Linked DNA regions of Struthio camelus. The protein of the gene in region 2 interacts with the protein of the main gene of each other region in a biochemical or structural test. Links are inferred from orthologs where the notes say so. Each region holds a gene or a part of one and is shown on either strand. Other genes may lie near its edges. The genes, in order: ATP2B4, DLG1, NET1 and FRMPD4.

Region 1 (7,158 bases), on a different chromosome or scaffold from region 2:
TCAGTCCAGTGTCTCCGTTGTAAACCCTGGGGGGGTCCGATTCTGCCCTCGGCTCTCCGGCACGGTGCAAAAAGCTTCTCCGTTGACTCCCGCGGAGCGACGCTGGGTCTGTACCGGCGGAGATGAGATCCGGATCTGGCCCTGGGTTTTGAATGGGTTCATAACGTGACTGATAACAACTTGGCTGATCCAATTCATTTTGGGCTAAAACTCCACCGACAAGTTCCCAGCCTGGGAGACGTTAAAGACAAATCATGATGAAGTTTGGTACTCTTCTTAAAGGGAAATCATCGGTTAAGCCCAGTTCTTAAAGAAGACCGATCTTGGTCTGGTTGACCGATCTTTCCCCTTTCGGGGGTATTTTTTTACGCTGCTGGCCGAAGCTCCGGGCAGGAAACGCGCGGCGCTCCCTGCGGCCGGCTCCCAGCTCCACGCACGGGGCCGGAGCCGGAGCGGGAGAAAAGGGAACAAACCGAATACCCAGCCAGGGTCCGAGGCTAGCGAGGGGGCCAAAGGCACAAGCACGAAGCAGCGGAGCAGCCCTGCGGAGACCTGCCCGCGGGAGCCCAGCGTCCCCTGCCCTGCCGGCCTTGCCCGGGCGGCGCGCGCCTGCGGGTCGGCCCTCCGGGACGCGGCGGCGGCGCGCTGCGAGCGCGGCTGAGCATCCGCAAACCGCCGCAGCCGCTCGCCCTGCCCGCGCGGCTCCCGCTCCGCTGCGGATGTTGACTTTCCTCCGTGCGCTTTTCCTTACGTGTGACATGGAAGGGGCTTTTAGACCGACTGTTTATGGCTGCTCCAGACGTAATGGAAACACGGCGGGCAGGAGCTGCTAAGTACTAGGACTGTAATTGCAGGCTGCCACTGGATGGGAAGCACATTTCGAAGCGGCTTTTTGGCCGCTTCCTTCAGTGAGAAGCGCGGAGCACCCAGGCTGGGAAGATCTGCCTTTCCCAATTTCAGCTGAAGCCCAAGGAGGCTGCAAATTCTCGACATTTCTGCAAATGCGAACTGCCCTCTGTTAACAACAGGTTCCCTCAGGCAGGAGGCCTTATTTCCTTTCAGGAGTCCAAATCCAGATGGTCAGAGATTCCTTCCAAGCTCAGAAAAGCTGTTTTAAAAGGCTATTATGCCTCAATAGCCCTTTTTGCATCCCAGACCATTGGAAATGCCGTCTGCCGTCTGTTCCTCCCTGTATTTTTCGAGCCTTCTCCAGTCACCCAGACAAACGGTGGTCTCTGCAAGCCGCCTTTTATTTGGGGGGTGGGGGAGCAGGACGCCGCCTGAAACCGGCCTGTTTGTTCCCGCTTTTGGCTTTGCAGCGGGAGGGGAGGCAGTGCTCAGCCCCCTGCCTGCACCCCCCTGCAGAGAGCACGAGCAGGCTGATACCCTCTGTGTTGCAAACTATTGAAAGGAAAGAGATGCTTTAATTAAGAGTTGCGCTGGCAGCTCTGACGACTTTTAGTCGACTCCAGATAACTAGCACAGGTTTGCTTCAGCTTCCAGCAGCGGCTCAGAGCAGCGCCCAGCCGTGCACCCAGCACCAGAGTCCCTCTTTGCCAAGCAACAGGAAAAACAACCAGGCAGGATGCGTGGGATACGCCACGCTCAGCGGCCCTGCAGGCGCCTCGGTGCAGGGAGGGAGAAATCCCCGCGAGGGTCCACAGCGGGGCTTTGCACCGCCACCATCAGCTCTCCGAGCCAGACGGAGCCACCTCGCTGAAAGCCGAACGGACGCGTTCTTACCAGCGCCTTTCGATTAGCAGGCGGAGGAATTCCTGCAAAAGGGCCTGGAAGCGTTTGCTGGGTGCTGGGCGGCAGGGCCTTGGCTCTCCCGGTGCTCCTGTGCGAGGAAGTCGTCTTCTGCGGCCCCCCCGGGCCGGCGCAGGAATGCAAAGTAATGGAGGTGCAGGCCCTCGAGGAGGGGAAAAAAAAAAACGTTACAAACACTAATTAGGGCTTGTGCGTGCACAGATGTTACACTGGTTTAACTTGAACCAGGTTGCAAGCCCAAACGTAGGGATAGAAACAGGATTAACCCTAATTTAAGGTTGCCAACACCCAAATGTTGCACCAGTCTTGTTGCACCCGTGCAATAGTGCAGCTTTCAGTCTGACTGCAGCATTTCATATGCTTCTAAAAAATGTGGGGGTGGTCGGGTTGGCCTGCGTGAAAGGGTGGTTATTTATGCTCCAATCCTGTGCAACTCAAAAAATGCACATACCCCCTGCCCCCTCAAATGACACAGTCACCCAAGGGGTGCCCAAGAGCTCTGCCTCGTGCTTTGCAGGGCCGCTGACACCCCCCTGGGCACTTGCTGGCTCCGCACGGGCAAACCCCAGCACCCACGAGGAGGCACCCCGACTTTGCCGTGCGTCGACTTTGGGTGCTCTAGAGGCGATCAGCTGGAGCGAGGAGGGTCCTGTACAGGAGTGCACCGACCCTGCTTGGGTACCCCCACTGGCCCGGGGGGGTCCACGCTGCTCAGGGGTGCATGCACCTTGCTGCCTTGGGGAGGGTCCCACCTCCCCACCCCACCCAGGGTGCAGGCACTGCAGTGCATTGGGAAGGGTCCCACACAGGCTGGGGGTGTCCGCACTGCCCTGCGGGGCCTGCACCACCTGAGGGTGCATGCCCAGCACTGCCTGGAGGGGGGGTACCCTTATCACCTTGGGGGTGCATGAAGCACACTACCTTGGTGGGGTACGTGCCACTGCTCAGGTGTGCATGCCCTGCAATGACATGAGGGGTCAATAGTGCTTGGGGGTGTGCATGCACCACACTGCCTTGGTGGGGTGCATGCTGCTCGGGGGTGCATGCCCTGCACTGATCTGGGAGGGGTCAATAGTGCTTGGGGGTGCATGCACTACACTACCTTGGTGGGGTGCATGCTGTTTGGTGGTGCATACTGCTCGGGGGTGCATGCCCTGCACTGATCTGGGGGGGGGTCAATAGTGCTTGGGGGTGCATGCACTACACTACCTTGGTGGGGTGCATGCTGTTTGGTGGTGCATACTGCTCGGGGGTGCATGCCCTGCACTGATCTGGGGGAGGGGGGTCAATAGTGCTTGGGGATGTGCATGCACTACACTACCTTGGTGGGGTGCATGCTGTTTGGTGGTGCATACTGCTCAGGGGTGCATGCCCTGCACTGATCTGGGGGGGGTCAATAGTGCTTGGGGGTGCATGCACTACACTACCTTGGTGGGGTGCATGCTGTTTGGTGGTGCATACTGCTCGGGGGTGCATGCCCTGCACTGATCTGGGAGGGGTCAATAGTGCTTGGGGGTGCATGCACTACACTACCTTGGTGGGGTGCATGCTGTTTGGTGGTGCATACTGCTCAGGGGTGCATGCCCTGCACTGATCTGGGGGGGGTCAATAGTGCTTGGGGGTGCATGCACTACACTACCTTGGTGGGGTGCATGCTGTTTGGTGGTGCATACTGCTCGGGGGTGCATGCCCTGCACTGATCTGGGAGGGGTCAATAGTGCTTGGGGGTGCATGCACTACACTACCTTGGTGGGGTGCATGCTGTTTGGTGGTGCATACTGCTCAGGGGTGCATGCCCTGCACTGATCTGGGGGGGGTCAATAGTGCTTGGGGGTGCATGCACTACACTACCTTGGTGGGGTGCATGCTGTTTGGTGGTGCATACTGCTCGGGGGTGCATGCCCTGCACTGATCTGGGGGAGGGGGGTCAATAGTGCTTGGGGATGTGCATGCACCACACTACCTTGGTGGGGTGCATGCCGCTTGGGGGTGCATGTCCTGCACTGATCTGGGGGGGGTCAATAGTGCTTGGGGGTGCATGCACCACACTACCTTGGTGGGGTGCATGCTGTTTGGGGGGTGCATGCCCTGCACTGACCTGGGGGAGGGGTCAACAGGGCTCAGTAGTGCTTGGGGATGTGCATGCACCGCACTGCCTTGGTGGGGTGCATGCTGCTCGGGGGTGCATGCACGGCACTAACCCGAGGGGTCGATACCGCCGGGGGGGTGCATGCCCTGCACTGACCTGGGGGGAACCCGCAGCACTTGGCGGTGCATGCACCGTCCCGTCCCGTCCCCCTTAACGGCCGGCGGGGCGAGCCGCCACCTTAAGAGAGTCCCGCCCCCGGCGGCGGGGACCCGCCCCGGCCCGGCCCGGCCCGGCCCGGCTCGGCGCGGGTTGCCATGACAAGCAGTTTCTCCCGCTAGCGCCGGAGCTGCCGCCGCCCTCCTCCTCCTCTTCCTCCGCCGCCCCATGGCCGCCCGCGGGGGCTCCGCCGCCAGCCGGGCCGCGGCGCCGCGCCGGTGAGTGCGGGGCGGTGCAAGGGGGGGGGGGAGGCGCTGCCCCGACCCGGGCCGCCCCGCCGGGAGCGGGCGAGTCCCGGGGCTTCCCCCCCCCCCACCCCAACCCCGGGGCAGAGGTGCCCGGGCGGCTCCCCGCCGTGTCAGCCGCTCTCCCGCGGGGCAGGGGCTAGCCGTCGGGGCGCTGCGGGGGCGAGCGGGTGGCGGGGTGCCCCGGCTGGCCGCGGCCCAGTGCGCAGACGGGGAGGGCAGCCGGGGCGCTGCAGGGCGCGCCGGGGCGAGGCTGCGCTGCGCTGCGCTGCGCTGCGGCGGGGTTCAGCCGCTGGCAGGGAGGCGTGTGCGAGCAGCGGCGTGCTGCAGGTGGGATGCGACCCCCCCCCCCCCCACCTCCTCAGCCGGCTGGGTTGGGGGGCACGGGGAAGGCGGGCGGAGACGTGCCCGAGGGCGCAGTCTGCAGCGGTGCCGGCGCCGGGCGCATCCGGCAGCAGCAGCAGCAGGTGGGAGGCAGCGGTGAGGGTCGCGCTGGGGGCGTTGCATCCTCGCCGCCGCAGGGGACCTGCGACTTGCGGCCCGCCCTCGGGGGACGCGGCGCCGAGGAGCTAGCCGTGCTCGGCGCTGTCGGGGGGGCAGCGCTGCCTGGCCTGGCCTGGCCGCGGAGGCGGGAGGCGAGCGCTGCGGCTCGGGCGCCGTCTCCGCGCTGCCGTCGTGCCGCTGCCCGGAGCTGCAGCTGGGCACCGAAGGGAAGGGCAGGCGCTGCGACGGGGGGGGGGTGCGTGTGCGAGTGTGGAGGAGGGGGAGTTACTTGCGGCAGCCCAAGGACAGGCTGGGGGAGGAAAGGTGTTTGCAAGGTTGGCTCTTGCGTTTCCCTAGGGGGGCAGGCGCCCGCCTGGAGCGCAGGGAGGCTGCCGGCCCCGGCGGGGCGGGGGAGCCGGATCCGGCCGTCGGTCGCGCTGGGAGCGCAGCGCCCGGGCACCGCACCGCGCCGCACCGCGCCAGGCGCGTCCCCCCTGCTGCCTGCACCAATCTGCCCGGGCAAATGCACAGCGGGGGGGGGGGGGGAGAAGAAACCAACCCCCCCCCCCCCCAAAAAAAAAAAACCCCAAAAAGCAACGAAGCGCTGGCGCACACGGCTAGCGGACGGGGGCCCTTGGCCGCTGCCCGCGCCCTAGGCCGGTCGGCAGCGCTGCGCCCCGTCGAGCATCTGCTTTGAATCCGCCCGGGGGGACCTGGGTGCCCGGGCTGGGGGCGGGGGGTCCCACCTCGGCCCCCCTGCGCCCGAGGGGGCCGCGCAGACCCTGGGCGCAGGGTGGTCCCTCCCTGTGCGGCCGGAGGTAAGCCTGGAGCTTGAAAGGGGGAGGGAGGGACAATAGGTTATTGTCCTCTTATCTCTGGAGAGCTGAGGTCGGGTGGGGGGGAGGGTGGGGGTCGGGTTGCCGAGCTCAAAGCAGCGCAGCCTGTTCCTGCCTGGCGGGACGGGACGGGACGGGGCGGAAGCCAGCGGCCCTCGGGGCTGCCGACCGACGAGGGGCCCCGCGTCCCCGAGGGGGCCCACCCGCTCCGGCGCGCCGCCCTTGCCTCTGCCTGGCTCCCGCCGGTGCCCTCAATCTTTTGCTTCCTTGAGCAAACTGAGATGCACCTGAATTATTTAGCCACGAGCGAGAGGAGCTGACGCCCCCCGCGCTCCTCCCGTCCTGGCCGCCCCGGTCCCCGGGGAAGCCCAGCCGTCCCCACCGGTGGCGGTGGCGTGGGACTGGCGCTGGCAGGGCCACCTGGCCCGGCCGCCCCGGGGAACGGAGCACCGAGCGCGCTCTGGGTGAATGAACGGGAAGAGTTGGGTGGTCCTGGAGGCCTCCCGAACGCTGCGTGCCCTTCGGTTCCCCAAAGCCCGTTCAAAGCAGTGGACTGTGTGCTTGGGTGTAAGATTTTTGCTGTTGTTGTTGTTCTTGTTTGTTTTTTCATTTCTGTTTCTTCTCCCTGCCCAGTGCCCGGCCAACCGTGCCGGTGTCGAGGCGCGACGGAGGAAGCGCCCGTGCTGGCTGCGTTCCCGCCGCCTGAGCGGAGCGAGGCAGCGCCCGGCCGCGGCAGCGCGCGGGTAGCCGAGAGCCCGCTGCAGAGCCACGCCGCGCCGCCCGGGGTTGCGGGTGCCGCGCTGGGAGCGGCTCCTCCCGAGGAGGCTGGAGGGACCTCTGGAAAGCGTTGGCTCCCTCCCGGAGGGGGGGAAAGGAGTTTCTGGCCCTGGGGAGGTGGTGCAAGCGCTGCAAGTAGTGGCTGGAGAGGGCAAAGGGTGCTTTTCTGGGTGCTTTTCTTTTTTTTTTTTTGGAATGGCAGGAGATGGTGCTAGAGGGAATTCCCCGTGCTGGCTCGCAGCCGTCGAGGTGCGCCCAGCCCGCCCCGGCTCCTGCAGCGCGCCGTGCACCCTCGCCGTTAGCGTGCAGCAAGGCGCAGCCCCGCGCCGGTGCGCGAGCAGCTGGGACCTGCTGCCACGAGGCCTCGCTGGCGCTGGCAGCGGCTCCCGGAGAGGCAGAGCAGGGCCGTAGCGGGGCACCGGCCCTCGGGCAGGGTGAGTAAGAGCGGGAGGGACAGGACGGGGGCGAGCCTCGGGCTCTGCCATTGTTTTGCAGCAGAAAGAAGCAGGGTGGAGCTGCAGACGGGAGTTCCCCCCCACGCGCCCCGAGGCGCTGGGGAAGCGGCCGCCTGGGAGCGGAGCCCGCGCCTCGCTCCACCCGCGGCGCCCTGCACGCTCCCCGCTAGGCCACGAGCGGAGTTTGCCGGCTGGGCAGCGCCTGCGCCGTCCGGGAAACTCCCCGCCGCAGGAGCCCCCGGGGGGTCGCGAGGGGCTGGGGCCGCGCGGAGCCCGGCGCTGAGCAG
Region 2 (7,790 bases):
GTTCATCTACTGGTCACTCTCAGCTGGAAGAACAAAGGAGTCACTGGATCCTTGTATTTAGATCCAGTTCCAACTATCTGAGAGAAATTTCAGTTACGAGGACAAACAGTGGATCACAGACGTATCATATAAACTCACAATGGAGTTCACAAATTAAACATACAAAGCTTGTGTTCCTGGGGAAACTCTCTTCTCTCTGTAAGATTAAAATCAAAGAATCAGAGATGCGTAAGATGATCCCATAAGAGTTCTATTGAGTAAGATTAACTAAATAAGCTAAATTCTGATTTTAATAAAATTCTGATTTTAGTAACTGGAATAATTTCAGGTCATTTAAGGGCACTGAGGACACAGTGTATTGACTTGTGTGTGTGATAAACAACAGCTCATTTTACCCACAACGACAAAGACAATAGAAAGGAGTGAGCTGGTATTTTGACTGATCACTAAGTCTACATGACAGGATCACAGCTCTTTGGGTTCTGTGACACGGTAATTACAGAATATAATGAAAAAAGTAGCTTTAATCTTTAGTAGCCTCATGAAAATTGGTTACATCTGGTAACTTTTGCAAGAAAAAGACATGCTACCATGTTGTGCTTTCACTTAAGCAGGACTTTCCCATAAGAAGTTGTCTGCATCTGTTTTAACCCACACAATTACAGCTGATTAAAAAAAGACACTCTCTCAGCGCCCAGCTCCTGGAAGCTAAGGCTGCGGCACACCATCCAATCTTATCAGACATTAGAGAATCTAGACGAGGTGAGGCATAATAAGCTAACTTCCTTCAGACTTCATTCCTTATTAGCCAGAGGAAATTAGGCTTCATTACTTTCATTGCTCCCCCAGTTAGCTGTGCAACATTGCATTGAGCTGCAAGGGAAGTGAAGTGAAAGCTTTCTGCAGCTGTCAGAGATCCTTTTATGAGTAACAATTCCCAGTTCTGCATGAAAAAGTGAAATCATCTGTGCCGTATGCTTATATGGAGACTGCTTTTAGTCTGTAGGCATTAAGCAGATGACAAACATAAGATATACAAACGATTAACTTTCTTATTTTCAAGTTTTTTCATTAGTAACCCCAATATCAAAAACACCTGAGTTTACAGCAGTTCTTTTTGCCGAAGTTACCGATTCTGGCAATATGCCAGCTTATGCACTCGTGTCCAACTTGAAATAAATAATTGTACCATTATTTAGTTAGTTAGTTTACCTCACCTTCTACTCTAATGCCCATCCTCCCTAAACAGAGTTCATCTGAGCTCATGTTTTCTGGGACATACTGGTTATTGCAAACTGCTGCAATGTGGTGACATCCGTTGTCCTCTTTGTCCTGTTTTCTAGATGGCCTTTGCTGTGTTGATTGCTGCAGCGTGTGTGGATCTAGCTAATGTTTCTTGAAGTCTCCTGATCTAAGCTTGTCGTACCTAACCAGCTACTGCGTGTGGTGCCGGGGCAAGCCAGATTTACTTACATTCCCATCCTGAGTGGTCTACGCGGCCATCAACATGTTCCAGTGGGACTCAAGGCTAACAGGGTAAGAAGTTGGAAAGCGCCCCCTGTCCCCGCACAGTGAGGTGCCAGCTATGCAGGTGTGTGGAATGGCACAAAGAGCCATTTCCAAAGCAGCTTCTGGCAGCGAGTCTGCCCGAGGAGCGAGTGCGCAGGCAGGTACAAACCCCCGGCTCGGGTCACTGCTGTGATCATTTTCAGAGCAGGTACCTACCAACAAGCTCTGACAGTTTCTCAAAATGAGAAAACATTGTCTCTGTTTAATTATGGGTTTGTCAACAGGGTTTACTAGCCTCCTGCACACAGCCTGCACACAGCCTGCTTTTCCCTTCGTGCATGGATTGTGTGGGCTAGGATCAAGTTATGAATATTTCTCCACATCTGGGCAATACACTCGTGTTGTGTCTGCCTCCTGGCTGTCCCAAGCTGCCTGCTCTCGCACAGATATGCCCCAAAGCACAATCTCCTTGAATGAGTGGAGCAATGCATGCCTTGTGGCAAGTCTCCTGCCCTTGCCAAAGGTTCGGTCCCAGACAGAGGGTCCCACACAGGCTGCTGACAGCAGTTGCAAAAGAAGGATTTTAATGGCGGAGGAGAGGAGCTGTCTGTCAGATCCCCGGCTGCTAATGTGGGCAAGAAGGCTAGAGGGGAGGCAGACACTGCTTCTTGGCTTAGTTCTGCTGGAGTTCTTATCCCAAGGGTCGCTCTGGACTCCAGCCAAGATACGTTGCGCTCAGCATAAAGCTGACTTGTATGCTGACCACATCAGTCACAAATTAAGCACAAGCCTTTCTGTATGCTGCCTGTAATTGTTTAATTTAAATTATATTGCTTAAACCGTGGCATAAATGATGGTCTGGTTCGTATTGAGTTTTCCCCCCTCTCCAAGGGAACTACCCAATTTTCTGAAAACTGGAGCCTGAAAAATAAGACGTGTAATAGAGGGCAGCTTTATAATACAGGCTCTTACTGTAATGTGCAAATATAAGCGTAGTCATTCATTCACGGGATATTTTCTATGTATGCTAGGTGCTCAAAACCACTTTGTATACTGAAGTTTAGTACTGTGCAACCTGGTTCAACCACTTTCAGCCAACAAATATACTCCTAGAACTGAAACAGAAGTGCCGGGAACCAACACCACTCTCTGAGGTGCAATAAGGTTCACCTAATTGCTTCCTGGCTTGCTGATCCATCATCCTGACCCTGTCTTTGATGTGTGTTTTTCTTCCCAGAGCATTAGTAACAAGCGATAAATACTGTTTCAAGGTGCTGTATGGGGTTATTTCCCCATTCCCAGCACAATGAGTATATATTTGGGGTTATCTTTTATTTAAAATAAAAAGCCTTGGAAACATCAAATCCTGCTTATGAAAGAGTAGTTTGTTTCTTATGCTGGTACCTTTAATTGCAAAAATTTTCTTTTTTTTCCTCTATAACAATACTTTTCTGTCGCTCAGCAAACCACCCTAACTGCTGCAGATGTCTTTCTGCTAGCTAAATTTAGGCTGTTCTTCCTCTCCCTCTGTATACATTTCCCTGACATCAAGAGGACTACGGCCCCTTTAAAGTACATTTATTGCTGCTGTAAACAGTGGAAACTGAAGAGGCCAAACAATGAAAGCCTCTGCCAGTGCTCCTTCTTGACACGTTTTCCTTTAAAAATACATGTGAACTGGTAAAATTTCGTGCCAAAACTCTGAAAGTATGAAAATATGACAAGAAAGGAGGAAAGTGGGAAATGTGTGTCAGTATACATTAAATGTATATTATAATGTGTTTTCTTCAATAAGGTATGTGAACAATTTCACAGTACATAGCTGCGGGGGGAGGAGAAACTGCTAGTGCAAATCTAACTAGGAAACATGGGAGTATTGGAGAATGCAAGAGAGGCCTTTCCCAGATCTGGGTTAGATTTGTTGCAGGGTAAGTTTTCCCTATTTTAAGATTAGGACCACAGCCAAATCTGGTCCTGATTTCCAGACTGATCTTTTCAAATTTGCATGAGTTTTCCAGATGTTTTTTAGCTACCTGGTTTAAGCTCTTGTACATTTTCAGCTGTATCTAAATCCAAAAAAAAAAAAAAAAAAGCGTAAAGAGAGATGCAAGCCTGGATCAAAAATCACATCAGCGGGATTTGCTTTGAACTTCTCAGCATCTGCCTCTCCTACGCACACACACGGAGTTTGCGGTTTTTCAGAGCCGAGGTTTTTCTGCTTGAGCTTCCACCGGCCCGAGAAACGAGTAACCCCTGGCCGAGACAGGCACTGGAATTACCTCCAATCAGCGTTACTACGTGTGCGTTTGCCCCGTTAACGGGTATATCGATATCGCTGCAGGGATCGTTTACGTGGCGCATGTTTCTGACCGCGTCGCTCGGGGCTCGTTCCGTCTGCTGTCTCTCCCCCGTCACAGCAAGAACCTGTTTGCGCCTCCTTTGAGGGCGCCTCAGCGCAACAGGTAGACGCCGGTGAGCAGCGCCGGGCCGGGCCGCCCGGGAGCCGCCGCCCGCAGCGCTAACTAACGGCTGCCTCGGCCGGCCTCTGCGGGCTGCTCCCCGCGGCCGGTACCGGGGCATCGCCAAACTTCCCCGTGCGCCCCGCTCGCTGCGGGAGCGGGCGCGACCCGCCGGGGAGCCCCGCACCTGGGGGGGGCGGCGGGCACCGCGCCGCGGTAACGGCCGCGCCGAGCCCCACCGACCCGCCGCGGGCTCGTCAGGCTGCCGCCGCAACGGGCGCTCCCGGAGCGGGGCGGGGCGGGGCGAGCCGGGGCGGGGCGGGGCCGGGTCCCATGGCCCGCGGGGCGGGGCGGGCGAGGCGGGGCCGGGCCGCAGTGCCCAGCGCCGGCCCCTTTAAGGCGGGCGGCGAGCGGCGAGCGCTCACCTTGCCTCCTCCTCCCCCCCCGCCTAGGTACCGGCCCCGAGCCGAGCTGTGCTCTGATTGGGCGGTCGCCGGGCCCGGTCACGTGGGGGGGTGCGCTCCCCATAGCCGCCAGGCCGCCATTTTGGCTGGAAAGTTTGGAATTTCCGAGCGGCGCGAGCGGGAGGCGGCGGCGGCGGCGGCGGCGCGAGCGGCCGTGAGCCCAGCCCAGCGCGGCCCGGCCCGGCCCTCCCCTCCCCGCCTCTCTCGCGAGGCGCCGCGCCGCGGCGGGCGCGGGCGGGAGCCCCCCGCGGAGCCGCTCGCCGGTCGGTCGGGCAGGGAGGCAGGCGGGGCCGGCGCCGCGGCCGCCTCCGCCCGGCCGGCAGGGGGGGCCGCGCCCCCCCCCCCCCCCCCACGCTGCGCCGCGCCGGGCTCAAAGTTTGTGAGGCGGCCGGGAGCGCCATGCCCGTCCGGAAACAAGGTGAGCGGCGGTGGCGGCGGGACGGGCGCGGAGGGCGGCTGCCGGCGGGGGCGAGGCCGCGCTCTCGGGGCCGCCGACAAAGAAGCGGCCGGGCCGGGGCGGCGCGGAGGGCGGCGGCGGGTGCTGGCGGCGCGCGGTGACCTGTGGCCGCTCTCCGCCCGCAGACACGCAGCGCGCCCTGCGCCTCCTGGAGGAGTACCGCGCCAAGCTGAGCACGGCGGAGGACCGGCAGCTGCGGAGCTCCATCGAGCGCGTCATTAGCATCTTCCAGAGTAACCTCTTCCAGGCGCTCATAGGTAACGGCTGGCTCCTCTCGCCTTGTGGGCGTGCAGGCGGCGTTGGCGTTGACTCGCCCCTGCCGGGAACTCGGCGCTGTGGTGGAAGCCGGGTGCTTTTTCTCATTGTGTTGTTGTTTTGCATAGTAACGCACGTGCTGTTACAGATCAGCGGTTCGTTTGCTTTAAACAACTTGCCTTGCTCTTTTGACTGGCCCGATCTGCTTAAAGCTCTGCAGTCTGGTGCCGTTGTTTCTTCTGGGACGTGCCGCTCTAGACTCCTTAACGCAAGCTGTTTCTCCACTTACATCTTTTATCTGCCTGAACGATGTATAGCAGTGTTCTTTCCTGTGCGTCGTTATGTCACAGGTTAGTGAATGAGTTGAAGTAGTTTTACTCTAAAGTAGAATTTGGGCAAATGTTCCTGGTCTAAAAACGTCCCAAAGTTTATATTTGGAGTGCAGGGCTAACTTAAAGTGAATGAGAAGAAAATTCAAATCTTTTGGGGAAGGCTACCGTTTTCTCTTTCACAACACTAGCAGTAAATGAAGGAAGACATTACTGATTCTTAGTGTAGCGTACTTGTAGTGCTTATTCACTGAAAATGTTCACATAAGTCTCGTTGAAGTACTTGTAGGTAGTTTTGACTTACTTGCACATACACCTGCTTGGAAAAAAAAACGGAGCATGACTATAACTTGTAGAATCTTGACTTTGTTTTGAAACTTTTACGGGGAAGTGTTAACTTAAAGATAATGACACCTAATCAACGAGAAACTGTGTGTCAGCTAAAGAGTAAATGTTTTACTCTTTAGAGTAAACTAACAAAACTCTTAAAGTTCATTATCCTTGTCTTTTAGTAAATGGAGTAATTAATCTGTATCTGACTTCTGTAGAAACAAACATTCTAGCTAGCATGAGTTTACTTTTGTTACTTGGCATTTACATAACTTGTTGCATGTTTAAAGTATCAGATGAGTGTGCATGTCACTTCATAGTACTGACTTCTTTGAGTCTAAATTGTGTTGGTAACATGGGGACAGGCAAAAAACATAAACATGCGTTGCTGCATTTGGAATGTTTTGTTTGGAGCATTTCTTTATTCTCGTGTAGTTTTTCAGAGGATAGTCACCTTGCTGTGTTTTTGTGAGATAAGTTATTGAAAGCTAGTTGTGAAAACAGGTCAGTTCAAGAAATCTTGTACTTCAGAAGTGTTACGTGTTTCTCTTCAACAGTCAGTTGATGGTAGCTACTCCATGGTGAAAAACTAGTCTAACCTTTGTGGGATGTGTTTAAATAAGATTCACTGGTGGATCAACATGCTGAAGTCTTGCGTTAGAAGCTTGAAGTGCTGCAGTCAGGCTTTTTATTTTCATCCTGGAAATTTTCAGTGTTGGTTGCCATTTCTTCTTCATTGTCTTGAGGATCCATGAAGTACTATGTGTTTTCTCCCATTCATTGAGCAAGATACTGGTCTATTTACATAGCATTAGCCTTTCATATTGTAACCTGTAACACGTGCTTTCTTATATCCACATAAGAATTCTCATCAGCTCTGTGCTTAGCAGTAAACTTTGCAACCGCATATTTGCTGGCTTCTTTCTGCAAGAACAGAAAACGGGAATGGTGGTGTTGCCTGGGTGGACTATGTAGCCTTTTCCTCATCTTATAAGAAGTTGCATGTTGCAACCATTTGACCCCAGTTTTTCTCTGGTGTGGTTAATCTGTGCATGCACAATAGGTATATGCTTCTTTGCATTTACAGATTGATTGAGCATACACACATACACTCCATAACAAGAAATCATTCAAACTATTTCTCTGAAAGATGGTAGCACAGAAGACTTGCTTTCTAAGCATTTTATGCTCTCAACCTCAGTCTTTCTCCTTTTACTCCCCCCGCCCCCATGGAAATACATCACGGGAGTTCTTGGTAGTGACAGGCTATTGTTATTCCTGGAAACATCTTTGTGGTGTGACTACTGCATGATGGGGTGAGGAGCAGGTTGGAGCAGTGGGGACTCCCTGGAAAAGATGGTGTCTGGAGGATGGCTGCAGTTACTGTGAAGATCTTCAGCCTGCTCTTGCCTGCCCTCTTTCCTTGGACAATTGGGAGCAGGCTGGATAAAGGTTTTGGTTGTGCTGCACGTTAGATTTCCCTGGAATACAGCATTTTTCATTACTTCATAGTTGATTCTTAAGTACAACTCTTCAAGGAGTTGGGATGTGTCTGCAAATTAAACATCCAAGGCTGCTTTGACAGCAAGATGCAAGCTCAGCTATGAAGTTACTTCTCATATAGATACTTATTCTGGAAAGCAAGCTACTTCTAGTTTCTGAATTTTTAGAAGAATAATAGTAAAATCAAAACACCCTAATCATTTGTCCCCTCTCTCTTTCTTCCGAGTTGATGTATTGAGAGTTGCCTGTCAATGATAGGTGAGGATGTTTGTGAAGGCTGCAGTCAGTATCTGCTGTCAGCTTCATGCGTCCTTTTTAGTACCCCAGTGTAATAATGCCTGGTACTCTCAATTAAATGACTACTCGGGCCTTTGATTAAAATCAGCATGAGAAGTAGTATTAGTTTTAAGTCCTGTTGTATACTCTCAGAATTATGGTATCTTTTCTAGCTTATATTTTCTTGATTGTAGTTAAAATAATTTTG
Region 3 (7,234 bases), on a different chromosome or scaffold from region 2:
GGGCACAAGTTGTAACATGGAAAATTCTTATTAGATAAGTAAGAAGTTTTTCAAAATAAGTGTGGTCAAACTCTGGAACAGGGACCCAGAGAGATGGAAAAATCTGCATCCTTGGAGGTATCTGAAGCTCGCCTCGACAAGGCCGTGAGCAAACCGACCTAACTTTGAAGTTGCTTTGAGCAAGGGTTGGACTACAGATCTCCAGAAGTCCCTCACTAATTAAACTTTTCTACTATTCTACAAACAAATCTTGAGTCAGTGACTTCTTGAACTGTTCTACCTACATCACAAGATCACATCTAGGTGCTGAGCTGGCATCAATTTGCCTGTGAGAAAGTCTCCGGATGAAGGTTTAATACATACATGTCTTATCCGTGTCAACTTCTTTCAGTTTTATCGTAATTTTGCCCGGCCTCTCCACACAGACAAGCCTCACAAAGGAATGCACGACTATCCTACAAACAGCCAACATGTTTCATCACCTCACCAAGCCACTGAAGCCTTTAATTATACTATGCTTTTCAACTGCATTAATTATGGAACTACAAGATGATACTGCAGTACGCTTCAATGAAAACATTTGTTTTTAAAGCTCATTAAAACGTTCTGCCATCCAGAACGCACCATGCTTACTAAAGCCAGCCATTATGAAAGCCAAGCTCATTTACGTTTAACTTGCTTTGATTTAGGCCGCCAAATAAAGAACACCCATTCCAGCCTCTGGGGAATTTCACCAGGTCTCAAAACAAGGGACTGCCCAAGTCCCCTTTCTCCCACCCATTTCCAGGGCACAGATGAGGCTGGAGAAGAGGCAGGAGCATCTCTGGCCAACATAACCCAGGTAGTGAAAAGCAGCTTCCAGGCAGGGCTGTAAAGGGTTGCAATCCCCCAGTCAGTACAAAGAACTATGGCAGTAAAGAAAGGACCCCAATTGCATCTCGGGGCGAACTGCAGCTTGCACACAGCATTTGGAGGTACAGACCGGGGTTCAGCGAGACACAGCCAGAGCCACCTTTGCCAGAACTTGAGGGTTTAGAATTTTTTGGTACGCTACAGATCGCTTCACTTAGAGGACCTGAAGGCAGACTGTAGTCGCACAGAGGAAACAGAACAGAGGAATGTATATTTCTGTGTAAGGGGGAACGGTGATAAGTCAGAAGTTTTATAGATATGCTCTCTTCTCTTGTCCTAAGCCAGCTGACAACCACTATCCTAATTTAACAGCTTAGGGCATCCACATATCCAAGTCCACCATCTCCAGAGCTGGGAGTGTGCTTCCCTCACAATGCAATGCACTTTCCACACCACCAGCATGATTGCAGAAGTCATTTCCTAACCCCAAGGGCAACAGAAAACACAAGCCACCTCTGATCAACCTGGGTTGGTCTAGATGTTAGTCAGCAGGAGATGGGTCATCCAGGGGTCAACTGCAGATAGGGCAGGATCTGCTTATAAACACAACCAGGTATTGTTATTGGGGTCAACACAAACTGAGCTTCTGGTTAACTCAAGAAGTGACAGTGTCCTTCACAGGGTGGTCTTGGGAAAGGTCTCAAAGTCCAACAAACACATCAGAATAACTATAACACATGGCACACCAAGGCAATTAAACAGAGCAAAAGCCAGGGCAGACCCTGGAGCCAAAACAGGTCTTCCCACCTCAAGGGAATAAGCTGATCAGGCATTCCAGCCCAAAGAGATCCTGAGGACCAAGCAGGGGTAGCTGGCAATGGGCAACCCAGGGGGGAAACCTGCCCATTCTGGCCCTTCCTGCCAGGCAGCCTCAGGCTCCCAGTTTTACTGACATCTGCTCCCCACTCCGACCCACCAGCTGAGGCCCCTAGGGATCAGCACCTGATACGGGTGACAAGGGGAGCCCAATCCCCTCAGACATGTGGCAGCACAATAAGAGCGATTGGAGAGGGGAGAGGACACCCTAGGCCCCAATCACACTGATGCCCACCCTAGGAAGCAGCAAGGGCCCTCTCCTCTTTCTGCCAAACAGGTGGGGGCTGCAGGCAGCCCAGGGGATACCCCCATGAGCAAGGTGGGAGGAGGGAAGTCTTTGCATGAAAGCCTCAGGGTAGTTTTGCACCCAGGGATGGAGAGAGGAATGGCCACCTTCCCCATTATGGGATGGGGCATAGAGGGTGATCCCCTACAGCCTGCAGATCACCCCTCTCCTCTATACATACACTTACAGGACAGGAACAGGCAAGGGATTCCACACACCCTTTATGGGGCTGACAGGGATCCCCTTAAACCACAAACAAGTTCCCCTTATAGGATGGCAAGGGGTGACTTACAGCCTAGAGAGTACCCCCTTATAAGACAGGAGGGGGGAAGAAGTCCCCTGCAGGCTAGAGGGTGTCCCCTTATACAATAGGGAGGCAGGGGGCCCTTCCTTATAAAATAGGAGGGGAATAGGTCCCCTATAGTCAGCAGAGGGAAGCACCCCTTTAAAAGGCAGGAGGATGAAGGGTCCCCTATGGCCTGCAAGGGTGGGTCTCTCTTATAAGAGAAATGGGTAAGTGGTCCCCTACAGCCTGGAGGGGGGGGGTCCCCTCTTATAAGATAGGGGGAAGGCACAGTCCCTTCTATAAGGCAGGCCGGCAAGGAGCTCCCCCTCCTTTAAACGGCAGGAGGGAGCAGGGTCCCCTCTTCTGAGATACACGAGGGACACAGGGAGCACCGCGGCCATCGGCGGGGCTCCAGCCCCTGACGCGGCGGCGGGGAGGGATCGCGGCTCCTACCGGCTGCAGGAGGCGGCCGAGGCGGCCCCGCCGGGGGTGCTGTCCGCCGGCGGCGGCGAGCGGCTGGCGCGGGCCCCAGCACTGACCCTGCCCCGTCTCCGCCGAGGGGGCTTCTGGCCCGCGGGCTCGGCCTCCATGAGGACACGACACGTCGCGCCGAGAGCGGGGAAGGGAGCGGGCACCGGCCGCACCGCTCGGCGGATAATGGCGGCGGCGGCAACAGCAGCGAAAGCAGCGACCGGGGGGTTTGAAAATGGCGGCGGCGGCGGCGGCGGCCAATCAGCGCCGCGGGAGGGGCGAGTTGCTAGGAGACGCGGGGGGCGGGACAAGCGAGGGGGGCGCGGCTGTGAGGCGGGAGGGGCGGCTGCTGGGCGGCCCCGGCAGAGCGCAGCGCCCCCTGGTGCCCCGCGCTGCAGCGGCGCCTGAGGAGGACCCCGGCGGGGGGGAAGGGAAACTGAGGCACGGAGCCGTCGTGCCCGGCGGCGGCCCGGCTCTCCCCGGCCTCGCCCCCCCGTCTCCTCCTGCCCCCCACCCTTCCCCTCAGCCTTTTCTCCTCAGCGAACACGGAGCCGGCGCCCTCGTCCCCTCAACGCCACCGAAGGGTGGCCTTCCCCCCCCCCCCCGGCCCCCGGCCTCAAATCTCAAAAATGTACCTCAGAAATCGCCTCGAGTCACGAAAAAGTACCTCAGAAATGGGCTCGAAGCACGTACGAGAGGGTCGGACGCGGGGTGAGCCGGGGCCAGGGCCCCTCAGGGAGCTGGGCTGCCCCCCTTTCCCTTCTGCCTTCCACAGGGGTTTCCCCCTCTCCCTGGAAGAAACGGGAGGTGCCCTGAACAGTCACCGAGCTGAAGAAAACACAAAAAGTGGGGATTTGTATCGTAGGGCTCAGGAAGGAAGGGGAAGGGGGGGGGGTCTCCGCTCTCGGACACGGGGAGAGGCGGCCGGGGCGGGGGATTCGTGCGTGGTGGCCTTTCGGCGTGGCGGCGCGCAGCCGCCGCGTAAACGGTTTACGAGGGGCTCTTAAATTCTCACCCCACTGGGGAAAAGCAGATGCTTTGGCGAGGCGGATGTTCGCTAGCAAGCCCCCCACCCCCGCAAAAAAAAACCAAAAAACAAAAAAATCCCCCCAAAACGGCCTTAAAAAGCCGTCAGGATCCCTCCCGCTCCGCTTTGGGTTAAGTGGGACTTTGAGCGAGGCGTTCAGACACGCTCAGCTGTTAGTTGGAAACGTGGCCCCGTTGGGCAAAATCTCAGTTTTCCTCCGTTTCAGCCTTCTCCCCCTGCGGTTAGTGGCTGTTGGCAGGGGACAGGGCTTCTCCCCTCATGCGGTGGTGGCAGCCCCAAAGTTTATAACGATTCGACTGGTCCTAGGAGAGAGGGAGGGTCATGACTTACCCTCGTTTAGAAATTGGGAGTGCCCGCTCTGGAGCGCAAGTCTGCCTGTAGACTAGACAGTTTTGGCAGAAAATCTCCCTTTATCGGTGCTGGCACCCCAGGCAGCCGTGCTGGAACGGCCCTTTACAGTTTATCATATTCGTTTCAGCGCAGGTTGGTCTCAACTTCTGTACAGCAGTTGGATGAAATGCTTTGAAACCCATAAAAAATCCTGCATATGTACAAGGCATTTCACTGACTTGGCTGTATTTTAGTAATAAATCAGAAATGGATTTTTCAGAGATATTAAAAAAAAAAAAAGCCTAACTTTTGAAGTAGAACCTGCAGCTTGGTTCAGAAAAAGTAGATATCCTCCCTTTAAGCTGAACTACAGGAGGCTGCCAAAGGGTTAAACGTAACCATCTGCTAGACAAAGACTTGAAGGCTTTAGAAAGAAGATGTACTTCTATTTTGAAATGTACCATTGGGATGGGAAGAAGAGCAAGCGTACCCAATACACCAGGATTGCTCTCAGCAGAGTATTTTGCTATGCCAGAATACTCAGACTTAGCACTGATATTATGCCAAAGCTAGGAGAATTAATTCTGCTTGTACTATTCCAATGTGGACTTAACGTGACAAAACTGTGAAGTTTCTATTTTTGTTCAAACCTAAACGGTTCAGCGAATTGCGTTGCCCCGCTCGGTATTTCATTTATATTGGCTTATAGTCACTGATAGGCAATCGTACGCTTCGTGTCCACCAGCCAAATTGTTCCCTTCTTCACAGTCCTCTACAGCTTTGTCCTCTGCCCTGGAGTCCTCCCCTGCTCCACATCAGTCATGCCACACCACATACCAGTCACAGAGGCCTGTTTCACGTACATCACGTTGAACACATGATTAGCGGGACCCTGGTTTCTGTAGCAGCCCTCCACAAACTGGTGTGTCCTCTTGGTGTTGAAGAGCTCCTGGTCTTTCAGGACCTCCTATTTTTTGCATTCTGCGATGGCCGCAGTCACGTCCCTGGGCGCTGTTTTCCCCCACTACAGTAGGCAGCAGACCATGGACTTATCAGATGACTTTTAAATCCAGGTGAAGAATTCCCTGGTGATCTATGGCATGGAAAAGGGCTTGTGGCAGGCCTTCTCTGCTGAGACTATAGGTGCGTAGGTCATGAAGGTGAAGCATATCTAGATATGGGGACACCAGGGACAGGGTCGCCAGGTTGGTCTGCCTTGGTGAAGAACCTCTCATTGTGAGCCACAGGTCTCCTATTGCCAATATTTAGGAAATGTGAGAAGCCAGTCCAGCTAAGGGACCCTTTTCAGGTCTCTTGGGAAGGAGGTTGTGTTCCTTCTTCCGTTAGATTTCCACCGGTTTCTGGTATTTCTCCAGTGACTGTGGGCTCTGGGGCAAGGTGGATGCTCTGGACAGCTACTTCCTCAGTCCACTCGCACTAATGAATGATACAGAGGAGCTTATTCATTTGCTTGGTTATAGGAACGATGCCTTGTGGTTGGACCTCATGTATGAGGCTGTACTGAATTGTCTGTCTGCATACCAGCAGCCTGCCTCCTAGAGATAGAAATGCATAACCCTTGCGTAGGACTAGGAAAGAAGAAAACCAAGAAGCTCTATGAAAGAAAACTGTTCACAGTTTCAATTCCCACCCAAGAGGCAGTAGCAGCAGCAATAATTTCATCAGAGGAGGCAGAAGCTGCACAAGAAAAACCCTCCTCATGGAGTCTCCAGCAGTGACGTGACACTAAAGAGATCTGCCTCCAACACATTCCTCCCTTGCTCCACTGTACGGCAGTACGTATCAGACTGGAGTCATCATGCCCGAGGGAAGCCTCGACTTATTATCACAGTTGCTTGGGCAGCTGAGGCCAAGCACTGGGCCAGTAGGGTACATTACTCTGCTAATCAGCATGTGAGCAAGAGCCTTCAGCTGGACGCTCTAGCCTCACCCAATGTCGTCTTCTCCTGGCTTACACATGAGACTTACCAGCCCTGTGTAGCCCTGATAACTGCTGGTTGTGCAGTTTATGCACACCAGAGCTGGAATTTTAATAAGCATAAGTGGATTTAGGATGCTATGTAAAGATATCGTCTCACACACAGACATGAAGGTCAACGTTGGTTGGCACTACCAGGCTTCCTTCTGGGCAGGACATTGTGGCAGAAGCTCAGCCTTGCTTCGGGCCAGATCCTGACTTTACATCAAGTCCTCAGTAGTGTCCGAGGCTCTTTACACCACTGGAAACGGACTCCGGCAGTCCAGTGTGTATCAAAGACAAGTAATAGCTAAAGACTATGGACACACAGTATCCATGATAACTCATGAGTGGTGCACAGCTAGAATTACTCAGGGAATTGCTCAGAGGCTTCCTGCTGATGTTGCCGCATCTACCTGCTAGCAAATGCTGACAGAGGTTGCAAAATAGTTTCACTGAATTTTCAGAAGCTCATAATGCTCCAGGAGAAATTGTAAGTTTGATCTTTGCTCCGTGCTCCATCTTTGGGGCCAGAAAGGACTTTATTCAAAGGAGGGCTTTTGCCTGCTAAGCTTTCTGCTCCCAGCTCTCCGCAACGAGTAGTGATGACTGTATTGACTTAAATGGATAGCCTGTCTAGTGAGGACTATGGCCTTTTGGAAAGATTTTTTGGATTAGGCATGGGATTAGTAACACATGCATTAAGGACTTGTGGTTCTCAAACAAGCAGACTTAATTAGGCAAAGATTAAAGCACGCTTCATTGACACCGATCTCTTTTAGGATTCAAAGTGTCGAGTTATTTTGCAGAATTTTCTACACTTGGCAATGTTGCTCCTTTAAGCAGTTTCACTACTTTGAAAGTAGTCGTCTGGAGGATTCGAGGCAGCTTAGACGTTTATGGTGCCATAAAACCTTAGGCCATAAATTGCACATGATGAGGGTGCATGTCACCATCAGTACTTCAAGTCATTAAAACAAAAAAAAAAAGCTGTCTCATATTTTCATCTTTAAAATCCTAGAAAATAAGTGCTGTAAAACTACATGAAAATTGCCCTTATGTTCCAGTTAGTCAGTAAGCATTAGGCTAGATAATACATGTGGTTCG
Region 4 (7,993 bases), on a different chromosome or scaffold from region 2:
CAGACTAAAATGAGAAGCTCCGAACTCACAGCAAATTAAAAAAAAAAAATGACTGAAAGGCTTAAAAATATTCAGTAGCAGCCAAGCGCTCAACAACTTTATGCATGTAATCTGCCTGAAAGATCACACTCTCAGTCAAGATCCATTTATCCTATCTTTCTTTAAAAAAAAAAATCTTCCTTCTAACAGCAAGGGAAGAATCAGCATTTCCAGGCAAACTAGTTTTTCAACCCAGACTTATAGAGGGATTAAAAATGGGGTTTATACTGGAACGTGGCTGCTCCACGAAGTGCTCATAAAATTGGAACAGATACCTAGCTGTTACCTAGGAAACAGCAAAGTAAAGTCCCATGTAAACTATTATGGTCATTTAACAACCAGAAATTCAGAAACAAAAAGAGTAGCTCGGTACAGAAATGATTTACTGCAGTCTAGAAGATGAACTCAGTCCCTGAATACACAAACTTCATATCCTTGAATCAAATGAAGCTTGATACAAGCCTTGAAACTTGTGATTTAATTGCAGAAAGAATTTTCAGGTTTTCCAGTGAAATACTATGATTTGCCTTTATCTAAATACAAATCTCAGGAATGGTAACATCTGCATCTTTGAGGCTGTGGAAAGTCAACAGATAGTGTACATACCAAAAAAATATTTAAGATTGAATCTTAAAATAGATCTAAAAACTCCCATGTTCCTGACTTAATAATATTTCCATACAGCACATCCCTTTCTCTCCCTTTGATTTTAACTCAGGCGTGACAAATATGAAACATGAAGGTTTGAGGGGATGGGGGGCTTTAAAACTCTGCTCTTAAATAAATAGAAGCAGCCCAGCAATTCAATATATCTGGAAAAAAAAAATCATACTACATGACCTGCTCCTTATCTATGCTAGCATATTTTCCCTCTCCTCGAAGTTTCCACTGTAGTTACTGCTGTTGCAGCTCTAGTGGCATCAGCTGGAAACACGAATCAAAGAAAGCTGAGCAGGCCACTAGTGTTTTAGCCGTCACATCATGTAAAATTGCTCTGAGCAGGATGAGACAATGATGTACTTGAATGACAGCAGCTGTTCTGCGCAGGCATTGCCACAAGTGGAGCTGTAATCACAGCCAGGTGCAATGGTGGGAAATTTGGGGGATAAAGGCTAGGCTTGCACCTGTGGCATTCTACAACTTCCAGCCATGCAATATTTGTTTTTAAAGACCATCTGTCATTTTGACAAGTTCCCTATCTGAACGTCACTGAAGCAAGCTGCCTTTTGTATTTCTTTAACAAGGCCTTTCTCCTTTTTGTACAACATCCAATTTCAGTCTATGCTTCATAAACAGAAATGGATATGGTAACTATGGTGTCCTAAGCACTGAATCGTAAGAATTCAGAACACTCCTAGTTACTGTGATCAAAGCTAAATCCTTTAGGAGGATTATCCACACACACAGAAAAAGAAAAAAAGAAAAATCTTGCAACTCGAGCACTTTTATACAGTATCTTTGAGATAAAGTGTGATTTCCCACGTTATTGAGACGTGTTACCTCCAATTGTGTTTACCTACACTGAAAACATTTTTAATAGAGGCTACTGCGCTTCTTTGTCCATCTACGTAGCCTTAGGCCTGGCAACTAGCTGCGAACGCAACAGTCTGCAGACAGAGACCAGCACTCGGAGGCTATTAAAAGGAAGACTTATTCGAAAAGGGAAAGACATCCTCATTAAACACCCATTTCAGCAACAAAAAGTCCACGCCTCACACCCGTTCCAGCAACAAAAAAGTGCATGCCTAGCCAGCGAGGGATGGCAGACGCCAAACCCGCTTGCTCCCCAGCACCTATCATGCGAAGAGGCAGAGGGGCAGCGCTTAAAGAGCTGACGATGATTTCACCACTTCTCTAAAAATATCGCCGGGCGCGGAGTCGGGGGGCGGGAGGGCCGAGGCGCGGGGCAGGGAGCCGCCGCCGCCGCGAGGCGGTGCCCCGCGCCCTCACAAGTTGGCCGCCGCCCCCACCCCCGGCAGCGCGCGCCCTCGGCGACCGTTAACCGCCGCTAACCGCCGCCCCCCGCACCTCACCCGCCGGCGGCCTCAGGGAGGCAGCGCCTGCTTCCCCAACCCGCCCCAGCCCGGTCCCGGCTCTCGCCGCCGCTTCTGCGTTTCCCAAACAGTTCTGCTCTGACCGTTTCACCACGGCCAGCGCTCCCGGTAACCCCAGCTGCGCCGCGGCAAGAAGCACCAGCCGCGGGACCACGTTTATTGTCTTTTAAGATGGGGGCAGAGGGGAACAACCCAACGACACAGAGCCACCGGCGTGACCCTCCGCAGGTGCCGGGGCGGCAAGCGCTGAAAACCCGCAGCCCGACCCCGAGACCTCCGCCCCGGCGCCAGGGAAGTTGAGCGCCCCGGGGTCGGCAGCCCCCCGCAACCTCCCGCCCCCGCCGGGCACGGGCACGGGCAGCGCCGAGCACCTACCCGGAGAGCTTCCCAATCTTCACAAAGCTAAATACATCCATCCATGCAGCCGGCCAGCTCTGCCCGTCACTCACTCACTCACTCCAGCAGCAGCGGTGGCGGCAGCAGCAGCAGCAGCAGCTCCATATCGGGGAGAAGGTTGCGTCCAGTGGCAGCAACAGCCCTTGCAAAGGCAGGAGCCGGCGGCGGAGGCTGCTACCCGCCTCCGGCTGGGAGCTGGGCGTGCAGCATCTCGCAGGAGCAGCATTCATCTGCGCGCAGCCCTCCCCCGCTTCTCGCGCTGCCTCCCCTGCCCCCTCCCCGGGGTAACCGAAGGCATGAGGAGGGCGGTGTGGCCGCCAGCCCGGGCGCCCGCCGCTCCGCGCACCGGCAGGCTGAGAGGGAGGCGGCCGCGCTCCGCCGCCCGCTGCCTCTTTGCCGTATCCCCGCTGGAGGAAGGCGGAGAAGAGCGGCGGGGTGCGGGGGAGAGGGAGGAGGGGGGGCAATCAGCAAGGTGGAGAGGGGGAGTTTCTCCTCTCGCCGGCAATGTCTCCCCCTCCTGTGGGGGAGCGCAGCGCGCAGGCGGCGGCTGCCCGTTGGCTCCCGCCGCCCGTTGGCTCCCGCCCGAGGCGGCGCTGCGGCCGCCGGCAGCGGGCCGAGGGGCCTGGCCGGCCGCCGAGGGGAGCTAGGCCGGGCTGGAGGCTCCTCTCTGTTGGGGCGGGCGGGCAGGCAGGCAGGCCCGGCGAGGGGGAGAAGGCCCCTCCCCAGCCGGGGAGAAGCACCCTGGTCCTTTGCTAGAAGCCTGCTGCCCAGATCCCGAAAGCAAAAGTTGGGGGAACCGGACAGCCCTCTTCCACCACTGAGGATCTCTCCCCAGCGATCGTGCCTCGCTGTCCTGCCATACTTCCCCCTGGGGCAGAGGGAAGCCCTGGTGGCCTCCTTGAGATGTTCCTCAACCATGGACCACTGACCGGCAACACGGTGGCAAATTCACTGCCCTGCTGTCGCCAGAGGAGGTTGTCACCATCCCGTGGCTTCTTTATCCATGCCATGTAAGAGATTTTGAGGAAAGGAGTCCTCCTAGTTGTGACAGGAGCGCTGCAAGGCTGAGTCATGACAACATAGCTAAGCGTTCCTCATCCCATGTTCTGTGGGAAAATGGTGTAGCTGACGTCCTGACGTTCACAAGAACACAAGGAGACAATGTTTTCTTGTGCTTTTGCCCTGCATAAAGCTTCAAAATAGGGACTGGAGTTTAACTGCTGTCCGTAAGCTTCCTGTGAGTGAGCAGGACAGGAGCTTGGAGAAATTCAAATTCGTTTTCACATATAGATGTGCTTCGAAGCTCTACACTACGGTACAATAATTCTCAGCATGGGAATGCATATTCTCCTCTTCACAATAAAGTGTGTTTATATGTGTCTTCATTTGCTAAACAGATTCATACGCTCTTTACTTCCCACAGTTTCTGTCTCCTTTGGAGGCTTGCACCTAAACTGTCTCAGCAACCAAAAATTTCAGAAATGACAATAGAGGCCAATATGTAGACTCTAGCAGCTAGAAGAAAACAATGCAATTTTTTTAATATTAAAGCTTTTATTGATAAGGGAACAAAAAGAACAGGCAGTACGAACACTCACTGTGCATCAAGTTTCAAACTATTCTTTAAAACAATAACAAAGAATGATTGATTATCTATTTACACTTGGAGAACATTAAACAGCCAGCTAAAAACACTTGCAGACCTACCATAGATGTAAATGCTTTGTGCATATTCTGAAATACTGTATGAAGTACTTTATGCTAGTACATCAAAATATTTATGTGGGTCTTACGTGCAACTATATTTATTTATTGTTATACCAGATTTTTTAAAACGGCAGAACCTTTGCCTGTCATTCACATTGCTCTATTGATTGACAAAAGTTACAAAAATAACACAGTTTCAGCTGGTTAGAAACTGCGTTATTTATAAAACTGTCATTATTTATTTATAGACTAAGGAGATAGGCCAAGATCCTACAAAGCAAACTGATGCTGATGAAATGATATACCATATATAAAATTAGGCACATATGCTCTGTATAAACAAGGTCCCCTATCTTAAGTACTTTACATTCCAAGGCCTAACACACAATGGTGCCTCAAAGCGTAGGAGTGAGAGCCAGAGAAGTGAAGATGTTTTAAGGGTTCTGTAGCATTTCTATACTTTCAAGGTCTTCTGGTGAAACGGCAAATATGATCCTAGGATGCATCGACTGAGGTATTTCCAGTAGAGACAGAAAAGCGGACAGCATAAGATCTGACCAGAAATGCTGTACTCAGCTCATTCAGGAAGTGTGTTTGAGAAAAATGAAAGCAGGTGCAGGAAAATACTAAAAATGTTAAAGGTAGCGAAGTGTGCCTTACGAGAAGAGGCTGAAAGAGCTTAGCCTAGCAAAACAAAGACTAGGGATGAAAAGACTGCTGTTTATAAATGTATCAGTGTGATAAACAGAGGATGCAGTACCCAAAATGACTGGGCTTAACAGAAAGTCATTACAATTCGAAGCTGAACTGAAATTATTTTTCTCTCTTGCCTTGGCATTCCAAAGAGATAGATGAACTATTGCTATGATTATAATTACTTTGATATTTTTGTTTTCCTGAGTGGAAATCGTTGCAACCGTACAAATTGTCCAGAATGGCTGTGGAGATACTGTTGGGACAGCCGATACCCTGGAGATCCATTAGTAGCAAAATCACAGGAGTCTTATTCCCAGATGTGCAGACATGAGCAGAGAACCCAAACAAGTATACTTGTTCCAACTGTGCTAAATACTGGAAGCTTTCTGGATCTGTGCTAGGTGGGAAACACGCGTGGGGGTGGAGATTGGAATATCAATCACAACACTTCAGTTCATGGTTCTTTGGGCTCTGGTGTCACAGCAACCATGTATAAAGCTATCTCAGCTGTAGGAAAATGATAGAACCTGCCAACCCGGAGAAGCAAGGTGGAGGACGTTGTTCTGTCTGTTTCATGAGTAAACATCAATTAATACATGTAGTTTGAACTGGTTTTGGAGCTATCATCTGTAAATGATCATATTTTGGTATTATGCCTTCCTTTGCAGGATATGTCAACTAGACAATGCCATGACTGAACTCTTGCAAACATATGTACTTTTTTTGTCACTGGTGTGGGATTCTTCTCACTAACTACCAAAAATCGGGGTTCCAGCCTCAGTTAGTCATTCCCTGTCTCTGTGGCGGACAGGCACCTATCACTCCAACACATCTCATTCTAAAAAAAGTGACATGAATTGCCCTTTGGAGATGCTCTATTTTCTCTGTCAACTCCAGTGGAGAGGAGGCCCTAGGTTCCTACCTTTGACTAGAGGCCTGTCTTCTAGATGCCTAAATTTAGGTCAGATAAAACCCATTTGTGGGTGACAAAGGTACATGTAAACTCTGAATGAGAACAGACAGCTCAAGACAGCAGAACAACGTGTATTTAGTATCTCAGTAACAAACAATAATTGAACATGAAGTTCCTAATCTTAAACCAGGAATTTGACATCAATTCCTGACTGAATGTTTTTTTTTTTAGAGTAGAATTCTAAGTCTCTATTTTTGAGGATGCTTTGTTATGGTATACTATGACCTTTTTATTACTTTTGGCTGAAGTAATTCAATTAGGACACTTAATACTAATGTTTTCTGTAATCATAGATATCCTACTGTAGATCATGGGCCAGTAAAAGCCATAATTTCATGTAGTATGGCAGTTTCACCTATAGTTTCATTTATAGAAAAGGGAGTCTGCCTTATTTTATAATGCTCTTTGTTCTAAAGAAAGTGACAGACGTAATGTATGTAGGAATGTTTTGGCATACTATTAATAACATAAAACTAATTAAATCACTCTAAAAACTATTAATTTTTTCAGACATCTAAATTCCTTGGGTCCTAGGGAAAATGCTGTGAAGATGGGATGTAAATATCTTTATGAATGAGATCAAAAGCCGTTTGTTTGTGTGTTGCTGTATTTTTGGGATTTTTCTTTCTTCATTCGGAGGTACTGAATGCTCAAAGAAAAATATGAGTTGGACTCTCCTGGCTACCATACTGCACAAACTTTTTTAGCCCTGCAGCTTCACCAGTAATGTTCATTTTACTACATTTGCTTCAGTACGATTTGATCCTAGATAATTTAAAGGACGTCAGGTAAAATCTCACACCAAAGACATAAAATGAAACCTCTGGAAATGACTGAAGTCCACTTATTCATTTTAATACTTTTGGAGGTCTCAAAAATTTTCCTCTCAGTTAAAAATCTACCTCTACAATTTTTTTAAGACTAGTCTTTTTTTTTTTTAGTGATTTGGAATCTCAAAGAGATACTTAAAAGCACTGTATTTCACCTTTAGGATGGCTTTTAACTCATCAGGTTATAATGATAATTTATTTCCTGAGATAACAACTGAAGGTTCCATGATTTTTTTCATAGTGCTTGATGATATTATTCATATCCAAATGGCATAAATGTTTAAAGGAGTGTGATAAAAAAAGCCATTGGTTAATGAGATGTTAGTACAGAGCTGCTATCGAAACCTGAAGTTTCAAGGAAAGATACCATTTTGACATTGTAGTCTGGTACTTACTGAATGTTATTGATAGAGATAATTGTTTATGACTGTGCAACGCCAGTACGTTCTGTAGTAGTTTTCTGATCTACTTGTATTTCAAACCATTATATTCATTTTTTCAGCTTTGAAGCTTCAAAACATGGATCTTTTTAGAAATGATTTGTTTATCCCAGTGGTTATTATCCATACAGTATACGTGTCTATATGAAAATACTGTAACAGTTACAGATTTTCTCTGTGTCTGCATTTACAGCCTTATCAGGAAGTCTTTCTGCTCTCCTGGAATCTATACACCCAGCTTCTACACATCAGTTTTGGCAGTTTTATTGAATAGAGTTTTATCAGGCATAATTTTTTTAATGACTCATGCAAACTGTTAAGCTCTAAAGGTTTCATTTTTGTTACATAATTTAGTGCAGTAGATGTGATATCACACAGAAAGTCAAAATTAAATCATAAATAATTGAAAATTTAAATAATAGCAGATAAGATTATTTTATTTGTTGCCATTTAGGAAACAAAGAAGTCCAGAGGATGGTAAAGTTAGTACATTTCAGCATTATGCTGTTTATTAAACAGCAGCCTAAAAGACATTGCATTGCATGGAACAAGATAAGCAAGGATTCCACAACTGGTGCAACCATTTTTCTGAAGCGAGGCACACACAGTTAAAGCTACACCAGCAGGTTATTTCAAAGAGATAGTGAACAAAAACTACTGGTTGCTGTTATGAACTGAAAAGTCTTACAGCATGTTGAACCTGATATTAAAAAAATTGCTTTCATATGTTGCAACACACAGACAAAACTAAGTTAAGGAATGGGACCTTAGCCAAAATAAAGACAGTAATATTTTCTGCTTCAATGAATAAGACAATACTAAAGCATCAGTTCTTTTAAAATAGACAGGTCTTCATAA

What was found.
Region 1: the proteins of DLG1 (region 2) and ATP2B4 form a complex in vitro, tested with the Homo sapiens proteins (2 studies listed by BioGRID and IntAct, with this or other methods). The link is inferred for Struthio camelus from reciprocal best matches to the Homo sapiens genes DLG1 and ATP2B4.
Region 3: the proteins of DLG1 (region 2) and NET1 form a complex in vitro, tested with the Homo sapiens proteins (3 studies listed by BioGRID and IntAct, with this or other methods). The link is inferred for Struthio camelus from reciprocal best matches to the Homo sapiens genes DLG1 and NET1.
Region 4: the proteins of DLG1 (region 2) and FRMPD4 interact in a test that uses a peptide from one of them, tested with the Homo sapiens proteins (2 studies listed by IntAct, with this or other methods). The link is inferred for Struthio camelus from reciprocal best matches to the Homo sapiens genes DLG1 and FRMPD4.

What each region holds. Positions count from the first base shown.
Region 1 is NC_090965.1:6,586,451-6,593,608, forward strand, and holds the start of ATP2B4 (plasma membrane calcium-transporting ATPase 4), read left to right. Parts: upstream 1-4,146; 5' UTR 4,147-4,293; intron 4,294-7,158. UniProt on the Homo sapiens protein: Calcium/calmodulin-regulated and magnesium-dependent enzyme that catalyzes the hydrolysis of ATP coupled with the transport of calcium out of the cell. By regulating sperm cell calcium homeostasis, may play a role in sperm motility.
Region 2 is NC_090950.1:18,055,519-18,063,308, reverse strand, and holds the start of DLG1 (disks large homolog 1), read left to right. Parts: upstream 1-4,780; 5' UTR 4,781-4,831; coding exon 4,832-4,850; intron 4,851-5,014; coding exon 5,015-5,146; intron 5,147-7,790. UniProt on the Homo sapiens protein: Essential multidomain scaffolding protein required for normal development. Recruits channels, receptors and signaling molecules to discrete plasma membrane domains in polarized cells.
Region 3 is NC_090942.1:2,273,219-2,280,452, forward strand, and holds the start of NET1 (neuroepithelial cell-transforming gene 1 protein), read right to left. Parts: upstream 3,018-7,234; 5' UTR 2,891-3,017; coding exon 2,754-2,890; intron 1-2,753. UniProt on the Homo sapiens protein: Acts as a guanine nucleotide exchange factor (GEF) for RhoA GTPase. May be involved in activation of the SAPK/JNK pathway Stimulates genotoxic stress-induced RHOB activity in breast cancer cells leading to their cell death.
Region 4 is NC_090942.1:141,381,795-141,389,787, forward strand, and holds the start of FRMPD4 (FERM and PDZ domain-containing protein 4), read right to left. Parts: upstream 3,011-7,993; 5' UTR 2,510-3,010; coding exon 2,469-2,509; intron 1-2,468. UniProt on the Homo sapiens protein: Positive regulator of dendritic spine morphogenesis and density. Required for the maintenance of excitatory synaptic transmission. Binds phosphatidylinositol 4,5-bisphosphate.